Linked DNA regions of Arabidopsis thaliana. The protein of the gene in region 3 purifies or fractionates together with the protein of the main gene of each other region. This does not show direct contact. Each region holds a gene or a part of one and is shown on either strand. Other genes may lie near its edges.

Evidence for each region.
Region 1: the proteins of PRL (region 3) and CEL3 purify together in Arabidopsis thaliana (affinity purification with mass spectrometry, with the first as the bait; one large-scale study listed by BioGRID). This does not show direct contact.
Region 2: the proteins of PRL (region 3) and AT2G31920 purify together in Arabidopsis thaliana (affinity purification with mass spectrometry, with the first as the bait; one large-scale study listed by BioGRID). This does not show direct contact.

What each region holds. Positions count from the first base shown.
Region 1 is NC_003070.9:26,898,513-26,904,529, forward strand, and holds CEL3 (cellulase 3), read right to left. Parts: upstream 3,465-6,017; 5' UTR 3,238-3,464; coding exon 3,043-3,237; intron 2,969-3,042; coding exon 2,465-2,968; intron 2,385-2,464; coding exon 2,235-2,384; intron 2,157-2,234; coding exon 2,045-2,156; intron 1,971-2,044; coding exon 1,477-1,970; 3' UTR 1,253-1,476; downstream 1-1,252. Other genes in the region: AT1G71370 (DEA(D/H)-box RNA helicase family protein), read right to left, coding at 75-533, 600-869.
Region 2 is NC_003071.7:13,571,756-13,577,905, reverse strand, and holds AT2G31920 (elongation factor 1-delta, putative (DUF936)), read left to right. Parts: upstream 1-1,524; 5' UTR 1,525-1,538; coding exon 1,539-2,108; intron 2,109-2,507; coding exon 2,508-2,885; intron 2,886-2,953; coding exon 2,954-3,045; intron 3,046-3,135; coding exon 3,136-3,853; 3' UTR 3,854-3,886; downstream 3,887-6,150. Other genes in the region: AT2G31930 (uncharacterized protein), read right to left, coding at 1-340; CHX21 (cation/H+ exchanger 21), read right to left, coding at 3,887-5,715, 5,811-6,150.
Region 3 is NC_003075.7:898,055-906,091, forward strand, and holds PRL (Minichromosome maintenance (MCM2/3/5) family protein), read left to right. Parts: upstream 1-2,581; 5' UTR 2,582-2,629; intron 2,630-2,700; 5' UTR 2,701-2,747; exon of another isoform or gene 2,748-3,018; intron 3,019-3,121; exon of another isoform or gene 3,122-3,193; intron 3,194-3,320; exon of another isoform or gene 3,321-3,365; 5' UTR 3,366-3,429; coding exon 3,430-3,460; intron 3,461-3,551; coding exon 3,552-3,619; intron 3,620-3,722; coding exon 3,723-3,782; intron 3,783-3,870; coding exon 3,871-4,094; intron 4,095-4,181; coding exon 4,182-4,359; intron 4,360-4,446; coding exon 4,447-4,569; intron 4,570-4,649; coding exon 4,650-4,739; intron 4,740-4,998; coding exon 4,999-5,141; intron 5,142-5,291; coding exon 5,292-5,469; intron 5,470-5,762; coding exon 5,763-5,954; intron 5,955-6,047; coding exon 6,048-6,220; intron 6,221-6,313; coding exon 6,314-6,517; intron 6,518-6,593; coding exon 6,594-6,759; intron 6,760-6,837; coding exon 6,838-7,059; intron 7,060-7,144; coding exon 7,145-7,243; 3' UTR 7,244-7,537; and 1 more. Other genes in the region: STP7 (sugar transporter protein 7), read right to left, coding at 333-1,409, 1,496-1,815, 1,897-2,041; MSH6 (MUTS homolog 6), read left to right, coding at 8,025-8,037. UniProt on the Arabidopsis thaliana protein: Probable component of the MCM2-7 complex (MCM complex) that may function as a DNA helicase and which is essential to undergo a single round of replication initiation and elongation per cell cycle in eukaryotic cells.

The DNA.
Region 1 (6,017 bases), on a different chromosome or scaffold from region 3:
ACACGAAGAAGAAATAAACTTACTATCCCGAAACACATATACGTATTTAAATATTGACCTTACAATAATAATACCTCACAATACAGACCAGAAGACGTTTTCGACTTTGACTCAGCTCCCGATATAACTTCCATAGCATTCCTAAGGCCAGCCTTGGCCAGGTCTGCAACAGCTTGTGTTTGTGTAGCTGAAAAGAGGCCAGTCCTACGTTGCTTTGGCAAGCGAGATATAATGTAATTGACCTGCTTCTGGAACCCCATATCCAAAAGTCTATCGGCCTCATCTAAGATAAGAATCTCGAGATTTCGAAAATCCAGAAACTCCATTCGTTTCATCATATCTGAAAGCCTTCCAGGGGTGCCGATCAAGAGATTGGCTCCTTCTTCTTCGAGAGTATTCATGTCAGCTTCCACCTCTCGACCTCCAACAAGCAGGACAGAGTTCACATTTGGCAAAGTCGAGACAAATGGCTCTGCCACCTTATGTATCTGCGCTGATAGCTCTCTAGTTGGCGATATAATCACCCCCATTACCTGAGATTGAAATTGTTAACATATAGCATAAGCTACTACTCTTGATATTCGGCTAATTCTCCTTACCTGGTGTGGCTTCGGAGGGTAGGAGTTGGATCGACGGATAATCTCTATGAAGGGAAGGAGGAAAGCTAGGGTTTTTCCAGAACCAGTGGCTGCGTCGACGACAACATCCTTGTGGCTGCAGAGGAAAGGGATCGTCTCGGCCTGAACCGGAGTGCAGACCTCGAAACCGGACCGGTCAAGCGCCTCGATGATATCTTCTGAGAGCGGAGGTTTGAGTTCAGAGAAACGCGGCAGAGCCTTGGTGATAGTCTTCGGCGGCGATGAATCCATGACGGCCGCCGCTTGCTTGTCGCTCACTCCAGATTATTTTTTAGCTATGATCTACATCAAAATTTTGTTCGAAATCTGTTGTTTTTGCTACAGTTTCTCCTAAAAGCCCACTAAGAGAAAAAATATCTCTCGGCCCATTAGTTTCAATTCTCTCTCGGCCCATTGTTTGGCATATGTGTAATTCCTTTTAGCAGAAAACGATATTTTGTCTTTACATTTCCTACTTAATGCATATCTTTCAGCTGTTTAATCTTTGTACTGATGACATAATTGACAAGTAAATATTCTAGTGTTCTTTCATGACATAATTGACAAGTAAATATTCTAGTGTTCTTTCATGGTGCTATAACCAAACATGAAATATTTCCGTGGTGCTTAATTAACGGCCTTGGTTGAATATTTGAAACGCGTAATGATGATGGTTAGAGTTAAATAAGACCACGAGAAATATTTCCGTCGGGTCCTTTAGTATTGGGTCTTAGCCCATTAAGAGTTTTACATTTAAATAACTTTGTCCCTTCTGATTTTCACGTTAGGCTTGGACCAACGGATCTTTAACTAACAATGGAACTACAAATCGGAGAATGTGGCGGTGGCGAATTCAATTTCAAGTCGAACGGCCGGCGGCGAAGTACGCCAAAGGTCCGACGAAGGCGGCGTTTATATAAGTCGCCGGTTCCGCGTGACTATAATCGTCTCTCTGATCTGGATACCCATCGTTTTGATTCGGACCTCCTACGATTGCTCCGGTGAGAATGTTAGGGTTAGGGTTTTGAGTGTAGAACGATTGGAATCCACCATTGCAGCCTAACGATTGAGAACGAAGTGCGTGTGAAGGAAGAGAAGATGCTCTGTGGTGGATTCTCTTAGGGAAATTGGAAGAGAATCCAACCATGTATGACATTTTGATTGGGTTATCTCCGAGTATGTAATCAACTTGTCGCTTCGATAGGCTTATCAAGGCGTTGGGGACGATAACGGAGCTTCCGCAATTGAATGTGTGTTTTGTGGCTTTCATGTATTTGGCGTAAGTTGTGAGCAAGAATGTTATGGAGGTTACGTACTGAAGATTGCTTTGAGGTAGCTTGTACATTAATCCTCCTGTAATTGGTAAACATATGATTAGAAGAGGTTGTTGTTTAGCAATTTGTGTTCTATATCGTGAAGTAGGTTACCTTGAGTGTATTGGGTAGAGGAAGAAGGAGAATCTGGAAGGATTTTGCAGATGAAATTCTCAGCTGCTTGCTTATATTGTTCAAAGTTGCTGTCTTTGTTAAGTAATGCTCTCTGCCAAAATGTAAAAGTTAGATAGTGTGATGCTAAAAGCTATGTTCTCAATGAGTTTTTATTAGCAGAGAGACAAACCCGTGAGAGAAGAACATAGGCACCAGCATATTTATTGTCCCAGCTGAAGATGTCAGGCTGATCTCCACCTCCTAAAGATTTTATGAAGTTTGCGTAATACGGGTTATTCGTTGCTCTTAGCAGCCATGACGCACCCCACATTAGCTCGTCCTGTGTTCATAAATTCACATTTTTAAAAATGAGGATCTGATGTAGTGGTAAGAGTGGTTTAGTTTCATGTGAAAGCAGACCTTGTAACCAGAGTAGGAGCAGTAGAAAGGACAGACAGATGAGGAAAGGGAATCACTGTAAGCTCCCTGGTACTGAATGGCAAACTGCATCACATCCTTAGCTGTTGCGAGCAGCAAACGTGAATACTTGGAATCAACTTTTCTGAAAACCATAGAAGCTGCAGCTAGAGCTGCTGCTGTTTCAGCTGCGACATCAGAACCAGGATTGGAAGCGGATACAGAGTAAACTGTACGTGGTGTGTCCATGTCTTCAGGCCGTTCCCAGCATTTGTGATCAACATTAGGATCTCCTACACCGACATAAAGCTTCCCCGGCGTGGCTCTGGCACATTTCAGCAGATAATCTGTGGCCCAACGGATGTTCACACGTGCATTTTCCAGCTCAGGACCCATCCGTTTACCGTATTCCAGTGCGCTCCATGAGAGCATTGTGGTGGTAAACGCCATTGGTAAATTGAACTTGACGTTGTCTCCTGCGTCATAGTACCCGCCGGTTAAGTCCACCTGCAATTCATATATCAATGTTACTAACAAAGATATATTCTGTATCAAAGTTAAATATGGTTTAAGGTGTGTACATGAGCAGCAGAGCCATCGGAAAGGCCAGAGCTAGCCCTCCAGGAAATTTGTTGGCCTCTAGGAAGAGGACCAGATCGCTGACCTTGGAAGAAGAGCAATGACTTGGAGAGAGCTTCTTTGTAATTTGGGTTGGCATCGCCATTGCTTATGAGAAGAGACGAGAAAAGGAGAACAAAGAAGAAAAGAGAAGTCATCTTGAAGACAGAGAGCTAAATTGCTTTTGAGGTTTGAAGTACGAAGCTATTACGTGAAGGTCCACATATATATACAGAGAGATAGGAGAGAGAAGGATCCTGCGCTGAAGGAAGCGATAATTATGGCTTTTTGGTTATCAACGTGCTGCTCCTAAACAAAGTAACCTTAATCCTCCTTTTTTACTATTTTATGGTTTAGGTTAGTTCATACCTTAATATTGCTTAACCAAATCCTTTTCTTTTTTTTTTGTCTATTGTTAAATTCTAGTTGTTTCACCTTTGTTTGTCCATTCTAGTTGTTTCACCTTTGTTTGTCCATTCAAATTCCTCTGTACGTTTTTTCTTTTATGTCAATTGTTAAGTATTTTCTTAAAAGTGTTGAGAAACGGAAGAAATTAAACTAGGTTATTTGATATTAGTGGGGGTGTATTGGGAAGCAAGAAAGTCTTAATAGTCTCTTATTTCCTAAGAGGTAGTATTGGGACATGAATAAACGAAATATAAACGCACGTAACGACTTTGCGTCTTCTCGAAAAGATACTGTTATAGTCAAATGTCGAATGCAAAAGTTGGACTCTTTTATTCTCAAAAGACGGAAGAGTTTTCAGTTTTTTGATATACTGATATCTATGTATTTTAAAAAAATTAATCGGATGGATTTCAAAAAAAAAAATTTGAAGCGGAAGTCTTTGATTCGTATTTTTCCTTATATGAGATTTTGATCCGATTTTTTTTTGCAATCGAATCAGATCGTTCCCTTTTTGAGATTTTTCCTACATAAAATCCAAACGACATTTAATCATTGATTTTTTCAATTTATCGTGTATATACAATATACTTGTAAAGTAAATGGTTTCATATTTTAATGCAAAGCAAATATCCAACGTATATTAACTTAACAAACCAATATTTGATATTTAAACTGTTTCCTATAAAAATGCTACAAATTATGACCCCATTAATATTTGTCTCATAAATCAACTGAACCATATAAAATCGACATTCAATCACACCTACTGAATTGGAAATGATTCCTAACTAAACGATTTTATTTCTAAGATATCTAATACTTGCTAAACAAGTAACGTTTTCCTTTTATGCAAACCTAAGTTTGTTTTTAATATATTTCCTAGTTACGATATACATAGACTGTTTAAAATTTTGAAATGGGCAGTTTCGGGGTTAAAATGGATCTACCGTAGTAAGAATATGTTCATATATGGGTATAGTTAGGGAGTGCATAGTTGAATTAGGTTAGGGGGATTAAGTGATTTTGAATTTAAAAAGAGGAGACAAAAGATAAAAGGGAAGCGTGAATGGCGCCAAGATAACGGCGCCGAGTCTTGGAACGTAATCAAAAGTGTGTGTTTAGTGTAATGGAGACGAAATTGATGCCTTAATCCACTTTCTTATCCCATGTGTTTATTATAGTATTACTCTCTTTATTTGCTTTTTCTTTCATGGGACATTCTTTTTGTTTAGCTTGTGTAATAACAAAAGCGAGTAAAAAGGCGACAACGTGTCTGCTCGATGTCATTGATCTTCTGACATTATATGAGTTAAGAGAATGATTAACTTGGGTATAATGTATTTATCAATGTTTAAGCAGACGCGTGATGAAAGCTTCAGGTAATACTTATTAGTAATTGTAATCATTCGATATCACTAGTCGCAATCAGGACTCAAAATATCATACTAATATTTTTCTCCCGTAAAGATTAATGGTTTGCATGAGAATAATAAATAGATCAAGAGAGATTTCAGAATTAAGCAACAGTTTATCTCTTGTTTTTTACTCACATGCTTAATGATTTTTTTACTCCTGGTGGCCCTACCCACTGATACTACTCGAAGAATTTTCGGTTGTTTTGTTGGCAAATGATTTTTTTGTATCCTTTTTGTCAAAAAGGTGTTTTCTTTTTATTCTTTCATGTTTGTACTTCTGAATGGCTTTTACATTTTGTTGAGGAGGACAAACAGTGGATACCATCCACGACTATGCGAGGAAAATTTTGGAGGAAATTTTTTTAGCCGAAGATTTGATTGCTAAAGTTGGACTTGGATCCTCTAGTAACCATTTGACTCTTTCTTTATAATAAAAACTACACCAAAATAAATGTAGATTTATTATATATTTATATATAGATGCACGACTATGTACTGTATTAGGGATTTAAATTAGCACATATATGTAGGCTATTCGTATTAATGGGCCTTCACAGGCAATCAATTTGGAAACCAACCACACAGGCCCCAAGGTCTAGTGTTTGAGTCAATTACGATATATAACGACAATTATCTTATCCCACAGCTTGTTATGAAGAAATCTGTGTATGTTGCCGGAGTTAAAAGGTAGTTTTAATTTCCAAGTCTTTTGATTTGTCAAATCAAATTTTCAGATGGACATAATCTAGCCATCTGTTGAGAACGATGATATAATTCGTTTAGGAATAGAAATTGGCTAAGCTTTAATAGATATACCCTAAACTCTATGGTCTCGAAAAAGACTGTGGAGAATTAACCCTTGTCCTGAATCCTACATCACAACAACCCAAGGATCTAGTAGTTAGAGGAGGAGGAAAAAATGTTTAACTGTGTAGCAGCTGCAATAGCTTATGGACCTGGTGTTTTCTGTGGTTTGGTGATCGGATACATCTTTTCTTCACACAAGCAAGAATGGTTCGCTGAAAAGTTTGGTCCCAAAAAAAAAAAAAGTCATAGTCACCCCAAGTGTTCGCTAAACCCATTTCTTGTAGTCTCTATGCCTTTGTGAAGCATTG
Region 2 (6,150 bases), on a different chromosome or scaffold from region 3:
TGAATTTCAAACCACCTTGCTTCTCTTTCTTCACCACCAATTGCATCGTCGGCTTGATCCCCTCGCCATCCTCGAAATGTTGATCTAGAGAGCTCTTGTTGTTAACATCAGCTTCTCCATTCAATTTCTCATCGCATCTCATCAGATTGTTCAAACTCTTACGATCAATCTCTTTGTCTTCGATTTGCTCTTGTTCTTTGTCTGGTTTTGGTTGTGAGCTTTGGGTGCATATTGCATGGTGATGCATATCGTTGATGAGACTAGACCATGGTTTTCGAGTTCTTTTCGACATGCTTAGATCAAACCGTGGCTTGGTCGGGTTTACTACTTCACTTCCCATGGTTATTAATCATACAAAAGAGAATCTATACTCTTTCTTTCTTTTTCAAAGGAGAAAACTATATAGAGGAATTAGGAGTAGCTATATGTCCATTTTCACTTTTGAATTGATAACGTAAGAGGTCGGTGACTGTGAGTGTTTGGACTACTCGTTACTTAATTAATAAATAAAGAAATGATTACAATCGTGACTCAGATGTCTATTTTGTAACTAATCTTAATTTATCTTGATACTTTGGGTTACTTGTAGCATACAATAAATTGAAACCACAACGGACCAAATTTCTAGGCTTGGGTTGATAATCCATACGTTTAAAACCGAAATTGTGAGAATAGTGTGGATTTATCTAGCTCGTGTCGAAAATTCAATATAGCTCATTCACTTAGATTGTGTCTGTAACTTTTGTAGCTCGAGCAGAAAAGAAATAGGATCCTAAGATTGATACAAACCCATCTCAGTCGCCAAGCTAGGGAAATGTTAAGATCCGAAACTTCTTATCATGTACTTTTCTTGTAATAAAAAAAAGTGGAAAAAGAGATACCGGATAACAAAGGTACAAACAAAGCAAGTTCACAAAATTTGGAAGGTTGGTTGGAGTGCGACCTGATGGGCGAGTTGGAGTGTCAACACTCAACACAAACACAGGTAAGTAAATGATTGGACACTTCACTTAAGTTTTCTATTCCAAGCATCTCCCCCATAAATTTGACAAGGTATTAATCATCAAACAGGCCTTGCATGAAAATATTCTTACAATTATTTTTTCTCTATAGAGTAATTTTAGTTGGACTTGGCCCATCACAATACACGCTTAAATGTGTGTAAAAGGCTTTATGATGTTAGGATTAGATAGGTTTATGATGACAAAAGAAATCTTCATCCTAATCGCATGCATAGTATGTTGTAGGTAGTGTACATCAAATATTGCTAAAAAGTCTCACTTGCAAATCACAATCGGATATTACAAAAGAGACAAAAAGGCTCGTGCTTTACACCTGCAACCAACAAAAGCTTTTTACTTGCAGCCCTTACCAAATCTCGAAGACAGAGAGACAAAACTGTTTACTTTTCCCGACACAGTAAACGACGAACTCTCCACATTCCCCGAGACACCTCTCTCTCTCTCTCTCTTTGAGATTCCTTCCCACTCTTCTTCTTCTTCCTTCTCCCAAAAGATGCTTCAGCTTCTTTTCCCACCATGGCTTCCCTCACTCCTGGAGTTCTCTCCAACCTTCTCAATATCGCCGCCGGAAACTCACCTTCTTCGCCGCCATTGTTGTCTTCTCATCGTTCACCACTCCTCCAAGTCATAGAAATCGTTCCTTGTCTCTCTGACGACCAATGGCGTAGCGAAGCATTCTTCGTCAAAGTCTCTGACTCTCTCCACGCAGCTTACGTCGCCGTTTCCACCGGTGATGACGCTGATCTGATACGTTCCGATGAAATTCAGCTAGGACAATTCATTTACATATGCGGTGGTTTACACGTCGAGAAAGGATGTCCTGTTCCTGTAATCCGTGGTTTGAAACCAGTCCCTAAGCGGAGGATGTGTGTTGGAAACCCTAGCGATCTTTATTCTAGCGATTTGCTGCTTCCTTTTACTCAGGTCTCTGTTTCTCCGACGACGACGAAGAAAAAGAATCTTGTTGAAACAAGGAGATTGAGTTTGGATTCCGCGAGAAGGAGTTGTTGGGATCAAACTCCTCCGGTGACTCGTCGTCGTGACGCTGCATTGCTTCTTTCTTCACCACGTCTTAAATCTAAATTGGTACACCTTTCATCTTTTTTTTTTTTTTTTTTTTTTTTTCTGTGAATCGCTCTGTTTTAGTGGTTTGTAGGGATTCTTGTCCTTTAAGTTGCCTACAATGGTATGAGATTGATATATGTGACATGTGAGAAACCAACAATACTACTAGACTAGTTTTCGTAGACCTTGAATGTTGCTCTGTGAGTCACTCTGTTTGATTCTTTTTGTTGCATTTGGTTGGATTGTGGAAGCTGTTGTTTTGAGTGGTGTAGGGTTTCTTGTTCTTTAAGTTGCTAAAATAGTTTGTTTCAGGAAGACCTTAAAAGTTGTTTCTTATAGATAGTACAGCAATTTGATATTGGTTTCACAGTTCATACACTTGAAGTCCTTGGCTTTCACAGATTTGTGATGTTTTTGCAGGTCTTGAATGATAAGAGTCTGCTAAAGATTGAGTCCCCATCAAAGTACTTTAACTGTGGAACCTCTCCTGCCTTAAGGAACAAGAATGTGGTTAAGCCTGGATCACCTATATCCATGGCTAGTTCTCCGAAAGATGGTATCAAGTCACCTATATCAAAGCACCTTAACTGCGAAACCCCTGCTTTAAGAAGCAGATATGTGGTCAAGCCTGCATCACCTATATCCGTGACTAGGTCTCCTAAAGATGGTATCAAGTCCTTGTCAAAGGCAGTGACTCCTCCGGTTGCGCTTTTTAAGGTGCCTTCAAGTCACATGACTTGGTCTGATCAAAGAATGTCATGGAGTGGACTCCCAAAAACCATTCAATTGCTCGGAAAGGTACGGTATTTGGATCAATCTACCGACTCTAAGAATTCGTAGTCATGTCTTTCAACCCCTCCTTTCAGGAAGTTTCATCACATAGGCAAGTAGCAGTTTCGGCAGCAGTAAGTGCACTGGAGGAAGCATCTGCCATGGAGTCTGTTCTATTTAGTTTGCAGTATGTCTTCTCTATTTCATCCCTAACCAGTTTCATTACACGAGTTTGCGAGTCCTTAATAATAGCATACATATGAATTTGTTCCTTCAGGGCCTTTGCCGAGCTGTGTGATTCTACTAAGAAGTTATCTACTGGACAAGTAGTGGCCCGGTTCTTGGACATCTACCACAATACACAGAATACATGCAAAGCGGTCCATCGGTTGCTTACTCAAAATCGAAACAACGGCTCGTGTAGATTAGTAGTAAATAAAAATGCAACATCTTGGGTTCAAGCTGCGGTAGTGACTGGTTTTTCTCAGTTCAACTTATTTAAAGAGCCTGGAAAGAAAGGTGATGCTGCTGATCATCACTACATTGTTATGCAGAACTCATCCGAGAAACTGAACCCCAAGGAGACAACAAGTTCAAGAACCCCATCCTACAAAGGCGCGAAACCGCCTGCAACGAAACATTGTTCTGTTTCAGACCGAAGTAGCTTAGAAGGTAAAAGCAGTCTGAAGGATTCAACGAGTCTAGCGGATGAGCTAGTCCAAGTTTCCAGCCAATGGTTCTTGAAATATTTGGAGAATTCATTGAACAAAGGGTCTTTCTTGGTGAAGACGGAAGAAACAAATGGAAAAGAGTCTCTTCTCGTCCACCTTAAAGCTTTAAACCATTGGCTCGATGATCTGAACTTAAACAGAACAGAAACGAACGAGAAAGTCGAAGATTTAAGAAAGAAGCTGCAACGGTTTCTACTTGAGCATATTGAATCTGTCATTGGGGATACTTACAATATGAAAAGAAAGATTATAAATTCCATCTAAAGAATGTATACAATATGGGTTAAGAAAAAACAATCATCTGCGCATACTGTACTGATGTTCTACTTCATCATCCTCGTCTTCCATAAAAGGCGTAGCCTCATGATCGGTCTTGGCTTTACCTTGGACAGGTTCTTGATTGTTGTTTTCTGCGGTTTGTCTGTTAGCAGAAGAGTATTGTTGGACCACAAGAACCGAAGCTTGCATTGTGAAGTTTGATGAAATTAATGTATCGCCTATAATCCCTAAATCCGGAGTACTATTCCAATCTGTCAACCCTGAGGTCACAGGTGTTTCTACTTGATATCCTCTTCCCACAATGTAAAGATCGTAAGAATTGTTATCTTCCAGTTCTAAAATCGCTGTGATCGTTTCTTGGCCATTCTTAACCACTTTCTCTACATAAGTCACTGATGGATCATTCATAGTCTTGAAGTTAAACTCGTAGATGGACTCTTCATCGACATGTTTATCCTTCTCGTACTCGTCCGCGGCTTCCCCGGCTGAGACTAAAGCTTCCTGGCTTGGGACGAATCTAACGACCGTGAGTTGAACCATTTCTTGTCCCACCATCCTCCAAGCGTAAGCCAAAGCCTCTCTGTCGTCTCGACCTCCTAGGAATAGCATGGCGATTTCTTTCTTTGTGGTTTCGCCTTGGAACATAAAAGATTCAAACCGGACAGTCGTCATGCCACGGTCAACCAAAATCCCAACCGAACAAGGCGCGTGGCTCATAACGTTTTGGTTGATTTCAGCGTGCACTGCGTTACCTTCATTTAACCGACCGTCTGACGTCATATTCTTGTGGTAAGGCAATAAAATGAAGCAGGCTTGTTTATCCTCGGCCAACAAACAAATATCTTCGTCCATCGTTGCGTAAGGTGAAACCGCGGTAATGGTCTGAACCATTACCCCGTCGTTGTTCACTTCGAGAGCTGTGAACATCTCAGCGATCTGGTCAGATTCCGCTCTAACTCGGTCAGCAAAGTTAGCTTTCGGTTTGGCCTCATCGTTCATAATGAGCAACGAAGCCGTGGTGCGACCCGTTAGCTCGACTAGGTGGATAGCAAAAACGTTAAGAGGAGATTTCTTGGTCGGGTTAGAGAGTTGTAATAGATTGGTTATGCCAGAGACGTTAGGGAGGACATGGACGCATGTCAATACACAAAGCTCTGACTCTCCTTTGTGTTTTTGAATGGTTCGGTTTTTATAGAAAATCAACTTCTTCTTTGGTTTGTAAGCAATGGCTAATAGTGGCTGCACCACCATTGACATCACTAGAAACGCCAACGTCAGATGAGTGTACATAATAACGTCCAATGCCTTGGTGTCTCGTCCAGCATTGAGAATGACTAGTGCCATTGTTCCCTTGGTATTCATAAGTGCACCAATGGCTAAACCATCACGCAAAGGTATACGCAAGAAAATGGAGCAAAACATCGTTGACAAAATCTTCACCATAACCGACGCAGAAGTCACAACCGCCATCATTCCAACGCTCACGGTCCTGTTCATGTAACCAATATCAGCTCTTAAACCGCAGATGATGTAGAAAAGAGGCATTAGCATTCCCGAGAGGAAATCGTGGAGCTTCTCTTCGATCATTTTTCGAATGATGTGGTCATGAGGGATCGATAGACCGAACAAGAATGCTCCGGTAATTGAGTGAACCCCACATACTTCGGTGATTAAGCTGCAAATAATGACTCCAGCGAGAGTGTACCATACGTGAGTGTCTCCCACTTGACCTCCTTCGACGGTGTTGTTGAAGATCCAAGCCACTCCAGGTTGGATCACAAAGTAGCAGAGAAGGACAAAAGCTATGGTTGATGCTAATGAGTATGGCAACATTTCGTTGCGTACACCTAACAAATTAAATATGGTTTTCGTTAGTACTATAATTCAGTAACTATGCGTGTGTGAGGAAAAATAACACAAGGGAACAACCATATTTAGTTACCAGATTTGGAAAAAATCGCCATTCCAAAAATGAAGAGAATCCAAGTGCACAAATCAGTAACAACGGCTGCACACATTGCAGTATGTCCCATATCCGTACGCAAGAGCTTGAGATCCGCAAGAATCCTAGCAAGATCAGGGAAATTTGTACAGCCAAATGCGATCGACCAGTACATACAACCTGCTAGGATTTTGTCGGCCTCTCCGTTACTGGGAAGGTAGTATAAGCCAGCACCGGCAAGTAAAGCCGCAAGGAGGCCAACAATGGCTATGATCACTGGTTTGATGTCTTTGATCTTTATCATCCTCAAGTCCAAGCCGAGACCGAGGAGGAAAACGTT
Region 3 (8,037 bases):
ATCGAAACCGTCTTTTGATGGTCTCGTAAGAGCAGATGTGTGAAGAAATCCTGAGATAGAGAGTAAACAAATCTCTTTGTTTATCTCAAAGAAGAAGAAGAAGATGGAGAATGTGATCACAAAACGCCAATTGCAACCAAAATCTTTACTCTGTAATCGAGTGTTTTGGTGTAACAGTCACTGTGACTATTTTCAATCGCTTTTTTTTAGTTTTGTTTCGGATTTTGAAGTTTGTAGTTGTCACTTTCACATGGGATTCAAATCTCTCCTTATGCAATAAAAAACCTTATAGTAATACAAACATAAGTTTCTTGAATCAGTTTATATTCTCTTTAAACAGATACATTCTTGCTCTCATCTTCAAGATTTGTTGCATCAGGTAATACTTTTTTCCAGAACCAATGTTTACTCCATAAGAGTGTCATCTCTTCTATTGGAACTCCTTTGGTTTCAGGCAACAGGAAATACACAAAGATAGTCATTACTGTCACCCAACCAGCAAAGAAGAGGAAGATTCCAAACTTGAATGCACAGAGGAGACCAAGGAAAGCTTGAGCTATGATGAAAGTGAAGAGGAGATTTACAGCTACTGTGATACTCTGCCCCGCTGAACGAGTCTCTAACGGAAAGATTTCGCTAGGTATGGTCCAACCTAGAGGACCCCATGACCATCCGAACGCTACAACAAAGAGGCAGATGAAGATGACTACGATCACTGAGTACCCTTTTGATAGCTCTTGGTTGTCTCCAAATTTCACTCCTAAGATCACTGCTACTATGACTTGACAGATTATCATTTGTATTCCTCCAGTTATGAGAAGAGCTCTTCGTCCCAATCTGTCTACTAATCCTATGGAAATAAATGTTGATAGGACAAGAACAGCTCCTGTTAAAGCTGATGAATAGAGAGATGCGTTTCCTCCAAACCCCATTGTCTGGAACAGAACAGGTGCGTAGAAGAGAATGGAGTTTATCCCTGTGAGTATCTGAAACATTGGCATGCAAATAGCCATAACTAGCTGAGGCCTGTGTCGTTTCTGCAAGATGTTTCTGAATGGATGTTTGATGGAATTCGCAAGCTCACTCGCATCTACCATGTCTTGAAGCTCGGCGTTGACGTTTTCTGTTCCTCTTAGCTTCACTAAGACTCGTCGACCTCTCTCTGTTAATCCTCTTTCGACCAAACTGTTTGGTGTCTCGGGTAAGAAATACCCGCCAAGCGTCATAAGCAGAGCTGGAAAAGCAGCTAAACCAAGAGAGAGTCTCCATCCCCAAGGCTTAAGCTGTTGAGTACCGTAATTAACCATGTTCGCTGTAAAGATCCCGATAGTTGTAGCTAGCTGAAACATCATGTTTAAACCACCTCGTAGATGAGTTGGTGCCACTTCTGATAAATACAAAGGAACCGCCTGAAAGCAAAAACCAAAGCAAGGTAACTTTCATTAGAGATGAGATTGGTTTATTATTGGTGACACCAACTAAACAATTGTCTAACCTGATTTCCAAATCCAATACCAACACCAAGCATGATCCGTCCGGCAAGAAGCATAGCTAAGTTCACAGCTCCAGCATTCAAACCAGATCCAATAAGAAAGCTGATTCCACCACAAACAATACTCGCACGCCTACCGTAGTTCCTAGTGATGGGTGAAGCCACGAGAGTCGAAACCAAACCAGCTAAGTAGAGTGAAGAAGTGAAAGCAGCTAAGCCTTGATTATCATATTTGCAGTAATTACTTTCATGAGCTTGCTTCTTCTTCTCATAAACCGTGTGGAAAAACTCCTCAAGAAACTCATCCATCGATGTAACTCCTCCTGCATACAAACAAAAAACCATTTCAGCCATTGTTTGATAAGATTATTAAGAAATTGGATTCAAAAGATGAAGAAAAGAACCTGAGATTCCAATGTCATATCCAAAGATGGATCCACCAATAGCTGCAACAAGGCAAGCGATTATAACATAACTAGTGACTTTCCCTTGGTATTGTTCTGCTCTCTCCTTAGCCACACCGGTCGGACCAAACGACCCTCCTGCCATTTTCTTTTCTTCTTCTTCTTCTTCTTCTTCTGCTACTACTTTGCTTCTTTTTAAGAGTTTGTTGCAACGGTTGACTTTTTTTCTTGCTTTTACTCAAATTCCAGAATCTGAGAGACAACGAAACAAAAAGGGTTATACACATTTACATCTTCACGTGGTTAGATAGATTTCAATTTGGTTAGGTTTTGGGAAAATTTTAAATGTGAAGTTTTGCCACTTTGAGATTTGTGATAATTGCGTATGGATTCGTGTTTGGTACATAATTGTTTGGAATTAAGTTCCAACAAGTAAATACGTCATTTTCTTGACCTTATCTTCACATAACAAATTAAAAATTTAATACTGATTTTGCATGTCTTCCTCCTACTTTGATCTCTATTTCCACAAAAATCATCAATGCTCGTTGGAATATTGTCAGAATATACTAATGCTATATAAGAAAACAAATACAAAAAGAGGTTTTATACTTTTTTGGTCAAATGTCATCTTCATAATAAAAAAAAAGATTACGATCTTATCCCGTTCTAACAAGTAACACCTCGGAAAAAAAAGAAATCAAAATCCTTCCTAGTAAAAAAAAAAAAAAAAGTTGGTTTCAGACAGAAAGTGAAGAATCAAGACAAGTGTGATGATTTTCGTCATAGGTTGAAAGAAAACAGATTAAAAAAAAAAGAAGAGGACTTACAGGAGAAAGAAGAAGGAAGATGTAACGATTTGTTGTAGACTGGGAAATGATTCAGACTTGTGTGTGCTATTTATTCCATGGATTTTTTGATCGCCTACTATGAAGGCGATGTTAAAGATGATGTTGACCAAGTTTTGATCAAAGTCGAATACAGAGAGACTAAATATACAACAACAAAAAAAAAAATCAAAAGCTTTAAATTCACACACACAAATTTCGATAGTAGCTATGGATTTAAGACAAGTGTAAGAAGAAATCACACTAGTTTTCAACGTAAGGAGGATGATGAAGATGACATTATTGTATCCACATTTGTCACCCATTTTTTGGAAACAGATGATAATATTATTAAATCTTTGGTTAATTAAATACTAAGGGAAAGAAATAACACAAAAGTGGTTGTAGTATAGCGGTTAGTATCCCACGTTGTGGCCGTGGGGACCCGGGCTCGAATCCCGGCAGCCACACTTTTTGTTACCTCTTCTTTTTTATTTCCAGCAGGGGTAGTTTCGACATTACATTAATCACGTGATCATTAGATCTGGACCGTTCATTTTACTCCCCGCCATTTCTCTCTATAATACTTTTCCCGCCTAAACTCATCGTCATCTACAACCCTTTTACCGCCCAATTTTGCAGTCACTGGTTCATTCCTTTCTCTTCTTCCTCTTCCACTCTCTCTCTCGACCCAAGTTTTGAAACCATGAAAGACCACGATTTCGACGGCGACAAAGGTTACATTCTCTCTTCTTCTCCGTTCTCGATAATCTTTTCCCTCTTTTTTCGCTGAGTTTTGATTCTCACTTTTTTTCTTCTTGTATATAGGGCTTGCCAAGGGATTTCTCGAGAATTTCGCCGACGCTAATGGCAGATCTAAGTACATGGAGATTCTCGTAAGTCTCATTTCCAATATCTTCCACCAATTTCTCTCTTCTAGGGTTTTCGCGAATCTCCCTAATTTTAGGGTTTTATGTTCTATTTTATGAATTTGTGTAGCAAGAGGTTTCAAATCGTAAGATTCGAGCTATTCAAGTCGATCTCGATGACTTATTCAATGTGAGTTTTTTTTTGTTTCTCTCTAATGTTGTTTCTGTTTTGGATGTTGCTATTGTAGAAGCCACTCATCTCTTTTGATATTGTGTAGTATAAAGATGAAAGTGAGGAGTTTCTCGGACGGTTGACGGAAAACACTCGCCGATATGTTTCAATTTTCTCCGCCGCTGTTGACGAGTTGTTACCCGAACCAACGGAAGCGTTTCCAGATGATGATCATGATATTCTCATGACTCAGAGAGCAGATGATGGGACTGATAATCCAGATGTTTCTGATCCTCATCAGCAGATTCCTTCTGAGATTAAAAGATATTAGTAAGTTTTGTCTGAGTCTATTTGCTGGACATAAGCTTTAGGGAATGAGTTTTACAATAGTTTGCTAATGAATTTACTTTTATTCAGTGAGGTTTATTTTAAAGCTCCTTCAAAGGGAAGGCCATCTACCATCAGGGAGGTTAAGGCTTCACACATTGGGCAACTTGTTAGGATATCTGGTATTGTGACCCGTTGTTCCGATGTCAAGCCATTGATGGCGGTTGCTGTTTACACATGTGAAGATTGTGGTCATGAGATTTACCAGGTACAACTATGCTTTTGCCAGATTGTAGTTTCTTTTTTATTTTGTTAACTACTAACTCTGATTATTTTCTTTTACATGTCAAATCAGGAAGTTACATCTAGAGTCTTCATGCCTTTGTTTAAGTGTCCTTCTAGTCGCTGTCGTCTTAATAGTAAAGCCGGGAATCCTATTCTTCAGCTCAGAGCATCAAAGTTTCTAAAGTTTCAGGAGGTTCTGTTTCTGGTCAATGAGTGCCATTTATGTGAATGCACTGATATCAAACTAATGAGTAAAAAATCATTGTCTTGCAGGCCAAGATGCAAGAGTTGGCTGAACATGTTCCCAAAGGGCATATTCCGAGGTCTATGACTGTTCATCTAAGAGGAGAGTTGACAAGAAAGGTACCTTTTCTTGACCTCAGTCTCATGCTACTATTGGAGTCTATTTGTTCTACTTTCGGAATCAATAGCTCGGTTGCTTAGGAATAGTCCAATGAGAAGTTGTTGTTCGGCTTAAAAGCATATGCTGAACAGTTGTTGATTAAGAGGATTTTTTTTTCCAATGTTGTACTGGGACTCTATCTGTAGATATTGTGATATCAGCGTCATTTACTATCGTACAATTGTGAAATTCTTACTAAATTTCCTTAAACCCTTGTAGGTATCACCAGGTGATGTTGTTGAGTTCTCAGGGATTTTTCTTCCCATTCCTTACACTGGGTTTAAGGCACTTCGAGCTGGCTTAGTAGCAGACACCTATCTGGAAGCAACGTCTGTTACTCATTTCAAGAAGAAATATGAGGAGTAAGGCGTTGTTACACCTTTACACTAACGAAACATTCTGATTTAGTAACCTATTCCATGTTTTTCTGCATTTGCTTAAGATACAAAGCAGCTTTCGTGTGTGCACAATATCAGAAAGCATCTTTATACCTTTTTCATTATGATCTACAGATATGAGTTTCAGAAAGATGAGGAAGAACAGATTGCACGTTTGGCTGAGGATGGTGACATATACAATAAGCTGTCGCGATCCCTGGCCCCTGAGATTTATGGACATGAAGATATTAAGAAAGCTTTGCTTCTCCTTCTTGTGGGTGCTCCTCACAGGCAATTAAAGGATGGAATGAAGGTGAACTTTCCTGTCCTCTGATTTATTCTGGCAAAATTTCCATGATATTGCTATCTATTATGATAAAGAGTAAAGACTGTACACTGATTAGAAAGCAGTTGCTTGCTTTAGTTCATCTCCGACTATATTGTTTTACCTATTTCCATACAGTGTCCGCAGTCTTCATTGATTGAGTTATGGAGCTTTATTATTTACAAACATGTTCAGTCATTCAAGAGCACATTGCACTTGATTGGAACACATTTTATCTGTGAAGATTTAAAAACAATACATTCATTAATTATCTTTTGCAGATTAGAGGAGATGTGCATATCTGTCTGATGGGTGATCCTGGAGTTGCCAAGAGTCAGCTTCTCAAGCACATTATAAATGTTGCTCCAAGGGGAGTCTACACAACAGGCAAAGGTAGCAGTGGAGTTGGTCTAACTGCCGCTGTTATGAGAGATCAAGTAACAAATGAGATGGTTTTAGAAGGAGGAGCACTGGTGAGAGACAATGCCCTTTTGCTTTGGATATATTTTAGAAAATATGATGTAAGAGCTATGTGATTTAGAAGTTTGATACAATCTCTATCTCAGGTGCTGGCTGACATGGGAATCTGTGCAATTGATGAGTTTGATAAGATGGATGAATCAGATCGTACTGCTATTCATGAGGTCATGGAGCAGCAAACTGTAAGCATTGCAAAAGCTGGGATTACCACGTCTTTGAATGCTCGAACAGCTGTTCTTGCTGCAGCCAATCCAGCCTGGTAAGTGAACTCTCATGATATGAATTAAAAACTCATGAATGTTGAGTGATCATTGCTATCATTATTGAACTATGTATCTTTGTGTTTATGAAGGGGAAGATATGATTTGCGAAGAACTCCAGCTGAAAACATTAATCTTCCACCGGCCCTTCTTTCAAGATTCGATCTGCTGTGGTTGATCTTAGATCGAGCTGACATGGACAGTGACCTTGAATTGGCAAAGCATGTGCTTCACGTACATCAGACAGAAGAATCTCCTGCGCTTGGTTTCGAGCCTCTGGAACCCAACATTCTCCGGTAAGTTAAATCGCTTTTACAGCATTCTTGTTCTGCAAAGTCAGAAACTTTAACATGAGCATATTTGGTTCTCTAGTGCATACATTTCAGCTGCAAGGAGATTATCACCATACGTCCCAGCAGAGTTGGAGGAATATATAGCAACTGCTTATTCCAGCATCAGGCAAGAAGAAGCGAAATCAAATACTCCTCATTCTTACACAACAGTGAGGACACTGCTCAGCATTCTGCGCATATCCGCTGTAAGTAGAATTTGTGTAGGAACTTGAGTAAATTAGTTGGACTATTGAGTGTTAATATATTTCCGATTTGTTCTATAGGCATTAGCAAGGTTGAGATTTTCAGAATCAGTGGCACAGAGTGATGTGGATGAGGCGCTTAGACTAATGCAGATGTCGAAAATATCATTGTATGCTGATGACCGACAAAAAGCAGGACTAGATGCAATATCAGACACATACTCAATCATAAGAGACGAAGCTGCAAGATCAAAAAAGACCCATGTGAGCTACGCAAATGCCCTGAACTGGATCTCCAGAAAGGTTAGTTTCTTCCTTCATCTTCATCTTCATGTTCTTTCTGAAAATGGATGATCACTGAGACGAGAGATTTGGGGTGTGAAAACAGGGATACAGTGAGGCTCAGCTAAAGGAGTGTTTGGAGGAATATGCAGCTTTGAATGTTTGGCAGATTGATCCTCACACCTTTGACATCCGTTTTATCTGAGTAACACCACCCAAAAAAAAAAAATGGAAACAAACCAAGTCTCTCTTGTTATGTTGTGTGCTTTATCTCTATTATCTTATCACATTTCTTAACGTAGAGACCTTAGAAGTGGAATCTATAGAAGTGATCTCTTGATTGCAGAACAAACTTTACTTTTGGAAATTTAGATGTGACTTTGTACTCTTGCAGTTCTTTTCACTCTCGCAAATTTACTACGGTTTTGATCTAGGTTTGATTAAAACACTTCTTAGTCTAATTTTGTATCCATGTCAGTAATATACTTTCAGTTTGGTATAATTTGATTTCATTATTACAATCATAAAATATTGTAAGTACCATGCTAACATATTTTCAAAAAAATTCTAAAAGTGGAATTTTGGGATTTTTATGACAATTTTGGAAAACAGAACAATTTTCGGTTTAGTAACATAACAGATCGGTTCTGGATCGGTTTAAGAATTAATGGGCCATATTATTATACTTTTAAGCCCATTAATACAGAGCAAAGCCCATTTACGTCGTTGCAATATCTCACTCACTCCATAAGCTTTTAACGGCATGAATAATTCGATTTTCGAGATGGCACAGAGAGAGAGCGAGTATTATTACTAGAGCGTTGTTTCCCGCCAATTAGCAACTTTCGCCGGCGTATTTTCCCGGTGAAAAATTCCCGCGCAATCTCTTCACTCCATAATAAGCTTCTCTCATCAATCTCGCTCTCTTCGCCGACTGTTTCACTCCCCTTCTCTCTCACTCTCTGTGCGCTTTATTCCACTCTCCGATGGCTCCGTCTC